Danio rerio: one gene and its partners. The protein of the gene in region 1 interacts with the protein of each later gene in a biochemical or structural test. Links are inferred from orthologs where the notes say so. Each region holds a gene or a part of one and is shown on either strand. Other genes may lie near its edges.

The links.
Region 2: the proteins of synj1 (region 1) and sh3gl2a form a complex in vitro, tested with the Homo sapiens proteins (2 studies listed by BioGRID and IntAct, with this or other methods). The link is inferred for Danio rerio from reciprocal best matches to the Homo sapiens genes SYNJ1 and SH3GL2.
Region 3: of the proteins of synj1 (region 1) and lrrk2, one has a biochemical effect on the other in vitro, tested with the Homo sapiens proteins (2 studies listed by BioGRID). The link is inferred for Danio rerio from reciprocal best matches to the Homo sapiens genes SYNJ1 and LRRK2.

The regions. Positions count from the first base shown.
Region 1 is NC_133185.1:31,460,492-31,464,521, reverse strand, and holds the start of synj1 (synaptojanin-1), read right to left. Parts: upstream 2,801-4,030; 5' UTR 2,753-2,800; intron 1,586-2,752; 5' UTR 1,562-1,585; coding exon 1,438-1,561; intron 1,254-1,437; coding exon 1,167-1,253; intron 1-1,166. UniProt on the Homo sapiens protein: Phosphatase that acts on various phosphoinositides, including phosphatidylinositol 4-phosphate, phosphatidylinositol (4,5)-bisphosphate and phosphatidylinositol (3,4,5)-trisphosphate. Has a role in clathrin-mediated endocytosis.
Region 2 is NC_133176.1:28,387,946-28,391,445, reverse strand, and holds part of sh3gl2a (SH3 domain containing GRB2 like 2a, endophilin A1), read left to right. Parts: intron 1-316; coding exon 317-450; intron 451-2,322; coding exon 2,323-2,481; intron 2,482-3,329; coding exon 3,330-3,433; intron 3,434-3,500. UniProt on the Homo sapiens protein: Implicated in synaptic vesicle endocytosis. May recruit other proteins to membranes with high curvature. Required for BDNF-dependent dendrite outgrowth.
Region 3 is NC_133200.1:38,184,587-38,188,204, reverse strand, and holds the end of lrrk2 (leucine-rich repeat serine/threonine-protein kinase 2), read left to right. Parts: exon of another isoform or gene 1-415; intron 416-1,646; coding exon 1,647-1,768; 3' UTR 1,769-3,118; downstream 3,119-3,618. UniProt on the Homo sapiens protein: Serine/threonine-protein kinase which phosphorylates a broad range of proteins involved in multiple processes such as neuronal plasticity, innate immunity, autophagy, and vesicle trafficking.

The DNA.
Region 1 (4,030 bases):
TTTTTTTCTCCTTTAATTGAATGGGTAGAGAGTATAGACAGGAAAGTGTTAGGGGGAAGGATCGGCATAGGACCTCAAGGCGGGAATCATGGGGTGCCATGTGTTGACGCACTACCCACTACACCATTAGCGCCGACTGAACTAGCATTATTGAATTTGACAAGCAAAATATATTTTTTGATGATTTAGGATTAAGCCTATTAGAAAACAGCTTTTAGTAAAATTAAAATTTACAAACTTTTTTATATAGCGCACATTGTTTTCTTTTAATTGAACAATTAATCCATGCTGAAGTTTGTTTTAGTAATCTTTAATTAACGTTTGACCATTTGCTTCTGTTTTTGGAGTGGCGGTCCTTCTCTGTTGACATCAGTTTGATGCTTCAGCCACAATATTCTTAACCACGCAAATGAGCGCAAATCTATTATTTATTATACACATCAATTAATTTCCAACAACAAATTGACACTAAGTTACATTTTAGACACAATATTGTCTGTTTTTTTCTGTTTCGCTAATAAAAAATAGAAAGCCAAAGCAGAACATTTGCGCATCTCACAAGTAGCACTGCAGAGTTGAGTTCCAGAAGGAAACCATTTTTGAGCCAATGATAGAATCCATTTATAAAGATGGTCCCCTATTTCTTTTCTAAATGAATCAGCCATTTTGAATGAAACATTTGAATGAACGAGTAAGTGAATCACTCATTAGGAAAGGGACTTGGTGCCACACCTACTGGCAGTTATAGTGTCATATTTATTCATCAGTAACAGAACTAAACCTGCACAAACATACACTTAGCAACATACTGTATAGTTTAACTTTAGTTACTGAAAATTACCCCAAAATATTGAGATATTTTTTTTTCAATACAGACAATGCATACTGCCAAGACATTTAAAAGATGACAGTTAAACATAAGACAAGTACAAACAAGTACATGGCCAGTCTCAAAGTTACACTGTAATTATTGACTATATAGTATGTTATGCATTAACCCTCCACAAATGTTTGTTTTGGTGTGAATTTCAGTGTTTTGGTGATTATCTTCAGAATTATCTATTTTTTCTTTTAATCCGGCGACAGGGTGGATTTGGATTTGTTATGAAAACAAACAGAATTAGCAAGTACCCGCCAAAATAAAAACAGAGGCTGAGAAACTGTACCAAGGTTCAGACGCAGAACTCCCAGGATCCCATAGGCATCCAGCATCTTGGTGTACGATGCTTTTATGGTCTCTTTCTCTGCCGCCGCTGTGGATGACATCAAAATATTTACTTAAAATCTACATGCCATAATACTACATACTATTAAGATGAAATAAATACTTAAATGTGTCATTTTGTTTTGATTCTTACACCTAAGAAAGACAGAGAATCAATGCTAACTAAACATTTAATAGTTTAATTCAGTAACTCAGGGTGTGGACAGTCTTACACAGTACAGCAACAGCTCCAGACTCGAACATCAGACATTCTTCTCGATTTCTGGTCTCCACAATCACACTGTATGGAGGTGGATCCAGCTTGTGATAAATACGATAACCTTTACTGAATGCCATGGCTCGACACAACCTATTTCAGACCTGAATGCAAAAATAAATCATTTAAATGGAAACACACCATATAAAGCAAATGACACAGGGGTTGTGGAGACAATATTCCAACCCTTAAACCACCGGCAATTTCAGATATGACTGAGGTAAAGTTGGTCTTATATTCGCACATTCAGAGTTACTGCTTTAAAATATAATTTCAGAAAATAAGTCTTAGCAAATTCAAAATAGTGATATTATATAAGAGATATAACAGCAAGTGCCTATCAAGGTACAACATTGTTCACATAAATAGTGCTAAAGTTGTTTTGAAGTCATATTACATGCGATATCATACCGAATTTTTAAAGTAACATGGTATACAATATAGAGACCCTGTCATAAGATATCGCTGTTCAAAAATGAACAATGTGCGATTATAAAACTAATTGTACCCCAATCTAGATATGCAGGTGCAGCAAATGTCGCATCGTGCAACCATAAAAACACACAATTTAAAGTGGTTATTAGTACACCCTGTCACACCATTGACATTAGAGAGGAAGGAAATAAAGTGGGAAGCTTACACAATTCCTGCTGTTATAAATTCGTGTTTTTGCTCTAATGGTCATGCAGGATAAAGGAAACACAATGCTGTCGAAAAAACATCAGCTGTGCTGTTATTTCAGCATCACAACAGTGAGGGATGAAAAATCAAGCCAAATCCCATCAAAGCCGAAGCAACGAGCTAAAATGTCCGACTTAACTGAAACGAAACATGCAGAAAAACAGGATGACAGGTGCTCATCACAATCAAAACTGCAACCGAAATCTATAAGGATGTTTAATGCATGCATATACACAGCCTGTCTAACCTTGGGCCACTGTCTCGGAGTGTGGCTGAAGGTTAGCGCACAAGAAAATAGCAATCATCCGTGTGATAACTAGAATGAAGAAGATCGGGCCCGACCGGCCCTTGATCTGTCAAAATCAACAGTTCAAACAGACTGACAGCCCCTAAAAGCCTTTATCACGACCAGCACTGACGGCTAACGTTAGCCGGCTAGCTCTCCATCGCCTTCCTGAACCATATAAACAGACATTTTACTGATCACAGAGCCGCTATGTGTTCATTAGAACAGGAAAAGTGGAGATTTAATGTGTCGGTGTGTGTTGTGGATTTATAATGATGCTTAGTAAAGAGATGGTCTTGTGTACCTGTCAGAGTTGTGCCTGTCTTGCCCCGGTTGGATATCGTATATGGCTAGAAACAAAATGATTAGCGGGGCAGGTAGTTCAAGAACAGAAATACAACAGAAACCTAGAGAGGAAGACAGCAGCACTGTGGTTACGCCCAGAAGCGTTTCCAGGACCTTAAGCTAACCGCTGATTGGCTAGGTGTGTGTCATGTGATGTAGAAAGCAAGCATTATTAAAGGGATAGTTCACCAAAAAAAGTAAAGAAATAAGAATAAATACTTATTTTTAAAATACAAAAATATTGCATCATATATATATATATATATATATATATATATATATATATATATATATATATATATATATATATATATATCATTAAAAAACAAATAGGAATATGTTAAAGTTTTAAATTGAAAATTGTAGTCTATTGTCAGTAAGAAGACAAATAAACTGCCCAGCACATTCAACTTTTCTCACTTGGCCTTTCCGATGGGTCATTTAATCCAGGGGTTCCCAAACTTTTCAGCCTGCAACCCCCAAAATGACATTGCCAGTGACTCGCGACCCCCAATATCCTCTTAGCTGGTTAGAAATACAAAAATCTTGAATGCAATGGCACACACACACACACACACACACACACACACACACACACACACACACACACACACACACACACAGGCATATTCTTCATTAAATTTTTTAATGTATGTTCTATAAAATCAATCTGCTGCATCTGACACTATTGCTGTTTCTTTAATAATATGTAATTACCAAAGGGGTCGTAATCCAGTAGAACTAGTATTTATAAGCTACTATAGCAACTATGTAGCATATAGTAACTATAAACAACTCTTTTTTTTTTCTCTTCAGTAGGTTATGGATAAAAATATGGTAAGCTCGGAGTAGAGCCACTGCTCCTCCACATCAAGGGATGTCAGGCATCTGTTTCAGATGCCTCCTGAACACCAACCCATGGAGGCCTGGGAACGCCTCGGGATCCTTTCTGAAAATCTTGAGGAAATGTCTGGGGAGAGGGAAGTCTGAGGTTATCTCCCACGACCCAGCCCCAGAAATGCAGACAAAAATGAGATGAGATGAGATTTTCTTTTGTGTTCTACAGAAGAGTAAATGGTGAGGACGTTTACATTTGTGGGTGAACTATTCACCCATGACAGTAAGATACAATAATACATTTTATTAAATAAAAATTATTTATATTATAATTATATTACTTTAATATTATTCTAATTTTATATTTTGTAATGCATGTGTCATTATTGTTTATTATGTT
Region 2 (3,500 bases), on another chromosome or scaffold:
TGATTAGAGCACTTTTTTATATTGTTATTAAAGGTAAAAAAAAAGAAATATTATATATATTTATATATATATATATATATATATATATATATATATATATATATATATATATATATATATATATATATATATATATATATATTATACACACACACACACCAAGGTGATTTCAATTGCAGCCTTTTTCCTAAAACGCTCTTTAGCTACCTATTTAAACCCTACGTTTATGAATACCCTGATGTTTGTATTAAGAAATCTGTGTGTAACAGTTTTGCCTCTGAAAGTAAAACATGTATTGTACTCTTGTGTCTCACAGGGGTGGCTCTGATTGATGTTGGAGAAGCCATGCGAGAGCTTGGTGAAGTAAAAGATGCTTTAGACATGGAGGTCAAACAAAACTTTATTGATCCCTTGCAGAATATTCATGATAAAGACTTAAAGGAAATCCAGGTGAGACATGAAAACTCTTTAAAAGCAATAGTTTTGTCATTAAATACAGTCATCCTGTAAGACTCTTTTATTTAAAAAAAAAATCTTGTTTTGGGACCTCTGGGGGTAAAATTGTAGTTGCTTTTCTTTTGCATAGTGGAATTTCATTGTAGAATAGAAATTACAAAATAGAAAAAATACAAATAAAAAAAAATTGTAAAAAAGTATATTGTTCTGGAAACACATAATCCAGACCTATTTAAATGCTCTGAAATAGTTCTGAGCTGCATTTTAATTCAATTAGTGTCACAGCCTAGCATTAATCATGGCATTTAGTGACTTGCCATTACAACTCATATAAATAGCTCCAGTGCCAATGTTCTGTTTCAGTTTTCACATTTAAATGTGGATTGTTTTTGTGAAGTTGTTGGACTGGGTGTGGGAGAAAACAATATACAGAACGTCACACCCAGCAAAGTGCTTCATCCCATTATGCACATCAGCAAAAAGACCCATTTAATCCCAAGGTTAATTAGGGCTGTATTGGGTTTTATATTTTTAGCCTTTCAACCACAATAATACCATCATTTCTGTGTTATTTGTTCCGTATATACACTCTAATTTCTATAGTAGCTCAAGATGAAGTAATTCAACTTTTGAAAAGGAGTCTCAAAGTGAACATTTTTGAATATTGTACCTTCTCTCAGCTAAACTACACAAGTGTACTTTTCACAAAAAAAACTAGCATGTCATAAACAACCATATTACATTTAGTGTATACTCTTGTGCTAGTTTTTGTGTGCATGCATGTTCATGGATCTGCATGAACGAGGTTCAGTTTGGCAATGTTACTGCTTGTAAAAGTAAAAGAACAGTATTCCCCATAAACAACCATGAATCATTATTTCATGATATTGGTTCAAGGTCTAATTTATTCCGTAATGAATTAAGAACTTTATAAATGAATCATCATTCGGATTCAAAAATAAATCTTTAATTTAAATTTTTTTTTTAATTAATTGCAGTAATTAACAATTCAGAGACTCTAGTAAATAACTTTTATAAAAACAAATTTCTTTGCCTATTCAGAATTGTAGGACAAGCATAATTTATACTTAAACATTTAAAATTTGCTTGTGAATCTTAGATTAGTGGCATGATTATTTAGCCCAATTTTGAAAGTTCACAGTCCCAGCCATTTAAAGAGTTTGTTCATTCAAAAGTAAAAATCATGCTAATTACTCACCCTCATGTCAATCCAAATGAAGAGATTTTAGGTGGAGCTCCCTCATCTTCTGTCAACAGCAAGGTCCCTAAATTGTCCAGAAAGGTAACTTCGATGAATGAAATTCAGCTACAAGAATAAACATAAAAAAAATACATTTATTCAACCTTATCATCAATGTTTGTTTATTGTACACATATATCACCCAAATCCCCCAGTGTCTGTCTACAGCTTCTGCTTTTTGAAACAAAGCATCTGAGTTAATACATCAGTGGCACGACCAAGCACAGTATGTGATCGTGCAACCTTTACCATCACTGAGGAGAAGAAACAGTTGATTAAAGTCAATTTTCTTTATGTGCGCACAAAAGTATTCTTGTAGCTTGAAAATGGGAGCTAAAATCTGCAGGACACCGGCCCTCCAGGAACAAGTTTGGTGACCACTTCTATAAAGGATGAGGGAGCTCTCAGATTACACCTGAAGTGTCTTAATTTGTATTCAGAAAATGAATAAATATCTCAGGCCGTTTGGAACAACATGAGGGTGAGTTCTGTTAAACTAACGCTTTAATGGAGGCACTGCATTAGAATTAACATTGGTGTGACGGAATGTCACTAGAGGTCAGTAACTGAACAGCAACATTTTCATTTTCCATGTTTCATGACAGCATCACCTGAAGAAGCTGGAGGGGCGACGATTGGACTTTGACTATAAGAAGAAAAGGCAAGGAAAAGTCACAGAGGATGAGATCAAACAGGCCCTGGAGAAGTTTGACGACTCCAAGGAGATTGCCGAACAAAGCATGTTTAATCTTCTGGAGAACGATGTAAGATCTGTGACCTGTCCTGTGCCTGCCCTTGCTCACCATCCATTTCATGCTTCTGTAGACTCTGATTGTACTTTATCTGTGCTTTTTGTGTTATATGCTGTATCCAGTGAGTCTTTCTTTCCTCTTATCTCACAGGTTTCACCCCTTTTCCATTAATCACTGCATCTCATCCAATGGCTATGTTTACATGGTTGGCAGTGTGATTGCTGCCAATACTCAAAGTAATGATTAAGATGTTAACATGACACGGGCAAACCTTTTCAGTGCCGTTTACATGATTCCTGCTATTATTAGGATCATTTGTTAAGAGTTATGATGTTTTTGCTTTAAAATAGGCTCCAAGTGCTCCTGGCGTACATGGACCTGTTGGCCAGTCCTAGGGTACACGGTCTCCCTCTTTTCCTAGAAGCCACACTTCTGGGAAGCTCAGAAATCTGAGATTATGCATATAACATTACATAACATGGGCATCATGTGTTTTATTGGTGATCGGAAATGCCAAGGTGGTATATTTCTGAACATCTAAGAGCATGATGCCAAGAAGTGTGGCTTCTTCTGATCCAGCATGTTTTCGACCCATGCATGAGCGTTTAGTCAGATGAAAAATGCAGTGCTTTACATATTTTACTGTGACTTATGATAACTCCAAACATGAACTTCATCATAACCACAGTATTGTTTACATGAACTCGCTTGCAGTACTTCATGGTACTGTCGTAATTACATTGTGAGGGTGCATGTAAATGTAGCCATTGTTTGCTAGTCTTGAACTTCATATGTGATCATCGAGGCGTTATTTGTGTTCATGTGTTACAGTTATTAATGTTCTAACTGTGTTTCACCAGATTGAGCAAGTGAGTCAGCTTTCTGCTCTGGTCCAAGCTCAAGTCAACTACCATAGACAGGCGGCAGAGATTCTTCAGCAGCTGTCCAGCAAGATCGAGGACAGGTCTGGATCCTAAAACAAACCATAGAGTTAAAAGTTCTAATCTTTAGTAAACAATTTATAAAGGGAT
Region 3 (3,618 bases), on another chromosome or scaffold:
ATATTTCGGTTTTGTACATATGTTTTGTGTGGTGTTGGTAAGGTTTTGATTGTATGTTTGTTTATATGCAGAGGGTTTTTTGGTATCCACTTTAAGTCATCAAAACAGGACCTGGACAATCCATCCTCATATCCACAGACTTTTTCCATCCACTTTTCTACTGATTCCGTGGCCAGCCATTGATGAACTGTTTGCTGAACTTGATCTTTCATGTGATTCACTTAAGGACTGTTGGTATCTTTTTTGGATTGCTATAAATACTGGATTCAATGAGAGACACTTATCGAATGCTTATTTCTGTCTAATAGTGATCATTAATGAGTTGACTGCTGATCATTTCATATCCCCAGTGTGTAACAATAATTATTCATACCTGCTGTCATATACATTTCTAAATACACATGAATCTCTGAAAGTTGTTTTGTGGTCTCTCAATTTCTTTAATGTAGCTTCAAAAAAAAGTAGTTGTTACAACGTTACATGATGCAGTGTATCTTTGAATGAATATATATTCAAAGAGATTTCAATGAACTATTCTGTATTAACTATGCCTTCACTTACAGAATGGTCATTTTTGGGTGAACCATGCCTTTGATTTAATTAATAGAAGTCAGAATGTTATACTCAAGTTATGAGTAATGACAGACTAGCCCTTTAAGAATGTTTAGGGGTGCTAATAGTTTTGACCACTTTGTATTTGGGGAATTTATATTATTAGGGGCCAAGCACCGTAGGTGCATAGGCACCTATTGCTTTCGTTAGCATTCTTCATCTTCTGTTTCTTTCGCCGGATTTGAATGGCAGCCCATATAGGCGTATGCGGGAAAGTTGTATAATTTGGCACAATCATAGAGGACAGTCTAAACATTAATCAGACCAAATATGAAGTCTCAAAATCAAACTCTAGTGCCACCACTTGTCCAAACATTCACGTATGTTTATCATAACTTTTGAACCGAATGGGCTACAATCAAAATTTCAAGTTGATTAGATCAAGCGTTTTCGTTTAACTTGCGATCAAATTTAACGTAGAACTTGCGAAAATGGACTTGAGTCGATATCTCTGTAACGCATGCACCGATTCACACCAAACTTGGTGTGTGTTATGACAACTAGGGTCTGAGGTTATGCGGAGTTTTGATGCACTGCCCCCTAGTGGTCCGGAGATACAAACTTGCTTTTTTGGTTTATAACTTCTCAACCTTTCGTCCGAAACTCTTAAAACTGGTCTCATTACATCCGGCAGAGCATGTCGAGTCGAATGATGTCTGATTTTCACAGGTCAGCCATTTTGGGCGTCGACCATTTCGATTTTTGACCAAAAATGCTATATTTTAACAACAACTTCACATATCATCACAAAACATGGTACACATCTTCAACCCCATGCCCTGAAAGTACTCTCAAACTTCTGAAGCAGCGCCACTTTTTGGCCAAAAGTGCTTGGGGCCCCCTTAATTGCTGCTTGCAGCTATATTTATTAATATTATTTTTTTTACATTTTCCTCGTTATTTTTAATTACAATGAAAGGTAATGTCTGTGAATTCTTCAGCTCATATATGCCAAGGTGGCCAATACTTCTGATAGTGAATGTAGTGTCAAAAGCACAAGGAAAGTCATTGATGACCTGTGTGTGTGTTTTCAGCGGAGGACTCTGTGCTGACGCTCTGGAGCAGTTCTCTTCCACTGGAGGCTCGAGATCTGATGCGACACTGTGAGCTCCGAGACAAAACCACCCGCAGAATGAGAGAAACGCTGCTTAATTAAACACCATCTCCACACAAAAACATCAGAATAAATCCGCCATCGACAACTCCCTGTCAAACTAAACAGCATCAGGTGAATTTGTGCACAAAAAACCCCAAGTCCAGCGTGTAGCTGAGCGTGGAAATGCTTTAAAAAGGGGATGGTTCACTCAAAAATGAAAACTACGGCATTAATTATTAGTCACAAACCTGTTAAACTGACTTTCTTTAGTTGAATAAGAGAAGTCAATGGTTACAGGTTTTCAGCATTCTTCCAAATATCTTCTATGTTGTTTTTCATACTATGGAAGTCAATAGTTACAGCATTTTTCAAAATCTCCTTTCGGGTTCAACAGAAAACAGAAACTCTTAACAGGTTTGGAACCACTTGAGGGAGAGTAACTAGACTAATACAATTACTAACTCATAAAAAATGTGCTGAAACAACTGAAATTCTCGGGAAAACTTGCTTTTTTACTTGCGTTTTATGTTCAACACACTAAGTTAATCGATTTGTGTCTGAACAACTTGAATGTATGGTAGTTTTGTTTACAGAGTAGCGAGTACATTTCATTTTCGGGTGAACTGTCCCTTTAAGAGTGTTTAAAATGTCTCCGAGCAGCTTTTAATGCGACCACAGCTTTACTAGTCACGAAAAGGGACCCGAAATCCATTTCAGCTTCTTTAAATAGCCAAGGGAAATTTTCATTGTGGTGAATATATCATAAATGTAGCTCGTATCTCAGATGTAGCTGTGATTCGGATTGTATGGAAGCTCATATGAGGACGGAACCAAAACAGCACTTGATTATGTTAGCCTTATTATTTTGTAGTATTTATTTATTATTGGTTTAAAGCCATGTGAAGAGGAGGCGGCCATATACAATGCATCTGTGATAATGCATTACAGCAGTCATCATTCTTTCCCCCATTAATGGATGATACATTAATAATGAAAGCATTAATGCTGGTTGTGAGATTGTGAATGAAGGCAATGTAATATATCACATGATGACATTATATGGTTTGTGGAGACAATCTATTGCTGAGACTGGAGCGATTTACGTTAAGCTAATAAACCACACTACACAATTTATGATTTATTATAATCATGTTATTTATGATGTCCGCAGCGAGCCTTTTTTTTATTATTATTTTTTTTATTATTAATTAACTTCATGAAGTTGAGCACAAACATTATAACTGGAGCATAAGCCATAGATTAAAAGCTATGATTATGATTATTTTGGTTACTGAAATGACCCTTCACTGTTACATTTTTGTGATTTGTGGGAATGTAATTATTATTATGATTTATAATCGAATGCTGCATGCCACGTATGTTTTTAATAAAGCTGCCATTTTGTATGATAATAGTATTTTTTTCATTCATTGTAACAAACGTCCTGATCATGTAATGGCCACTTTATTAGGTACACCTGTCCAACGGCTTGTTAATGCAAATTTCACATGTCAGCAGCTCAATGCATTTAGGCATGTAAACATGATTGAGACGATCTGCTGCAGTTCAAACAGAGCATCAGAATGGGGAAGAAAGGGGATTTAAGTGACTTTGAACGTGGCATGGTTGTTGGTCTGAGTCGGGCTGCTCTGAGTATTTCAGAAACTGCTAATCTGCTGGGATTTTCACGCACAACCATCTCTAGGCTTTACAGAGAATGAAGGAAATATCCAGTGAGCGGCAGTTCTGTGATAGCAAATCGTCATACTCGTCACAACCCAGCTCTGCAGAAGAGCATCTCTGAACACACAACACGTCCAACCTTGAGGCGGATGGGCTACAGCAGCAGAAGAGCACAGCCTACCTGAGTATTGTTGCTGACCATGTTCATCCCATTATGAGAACTGTCT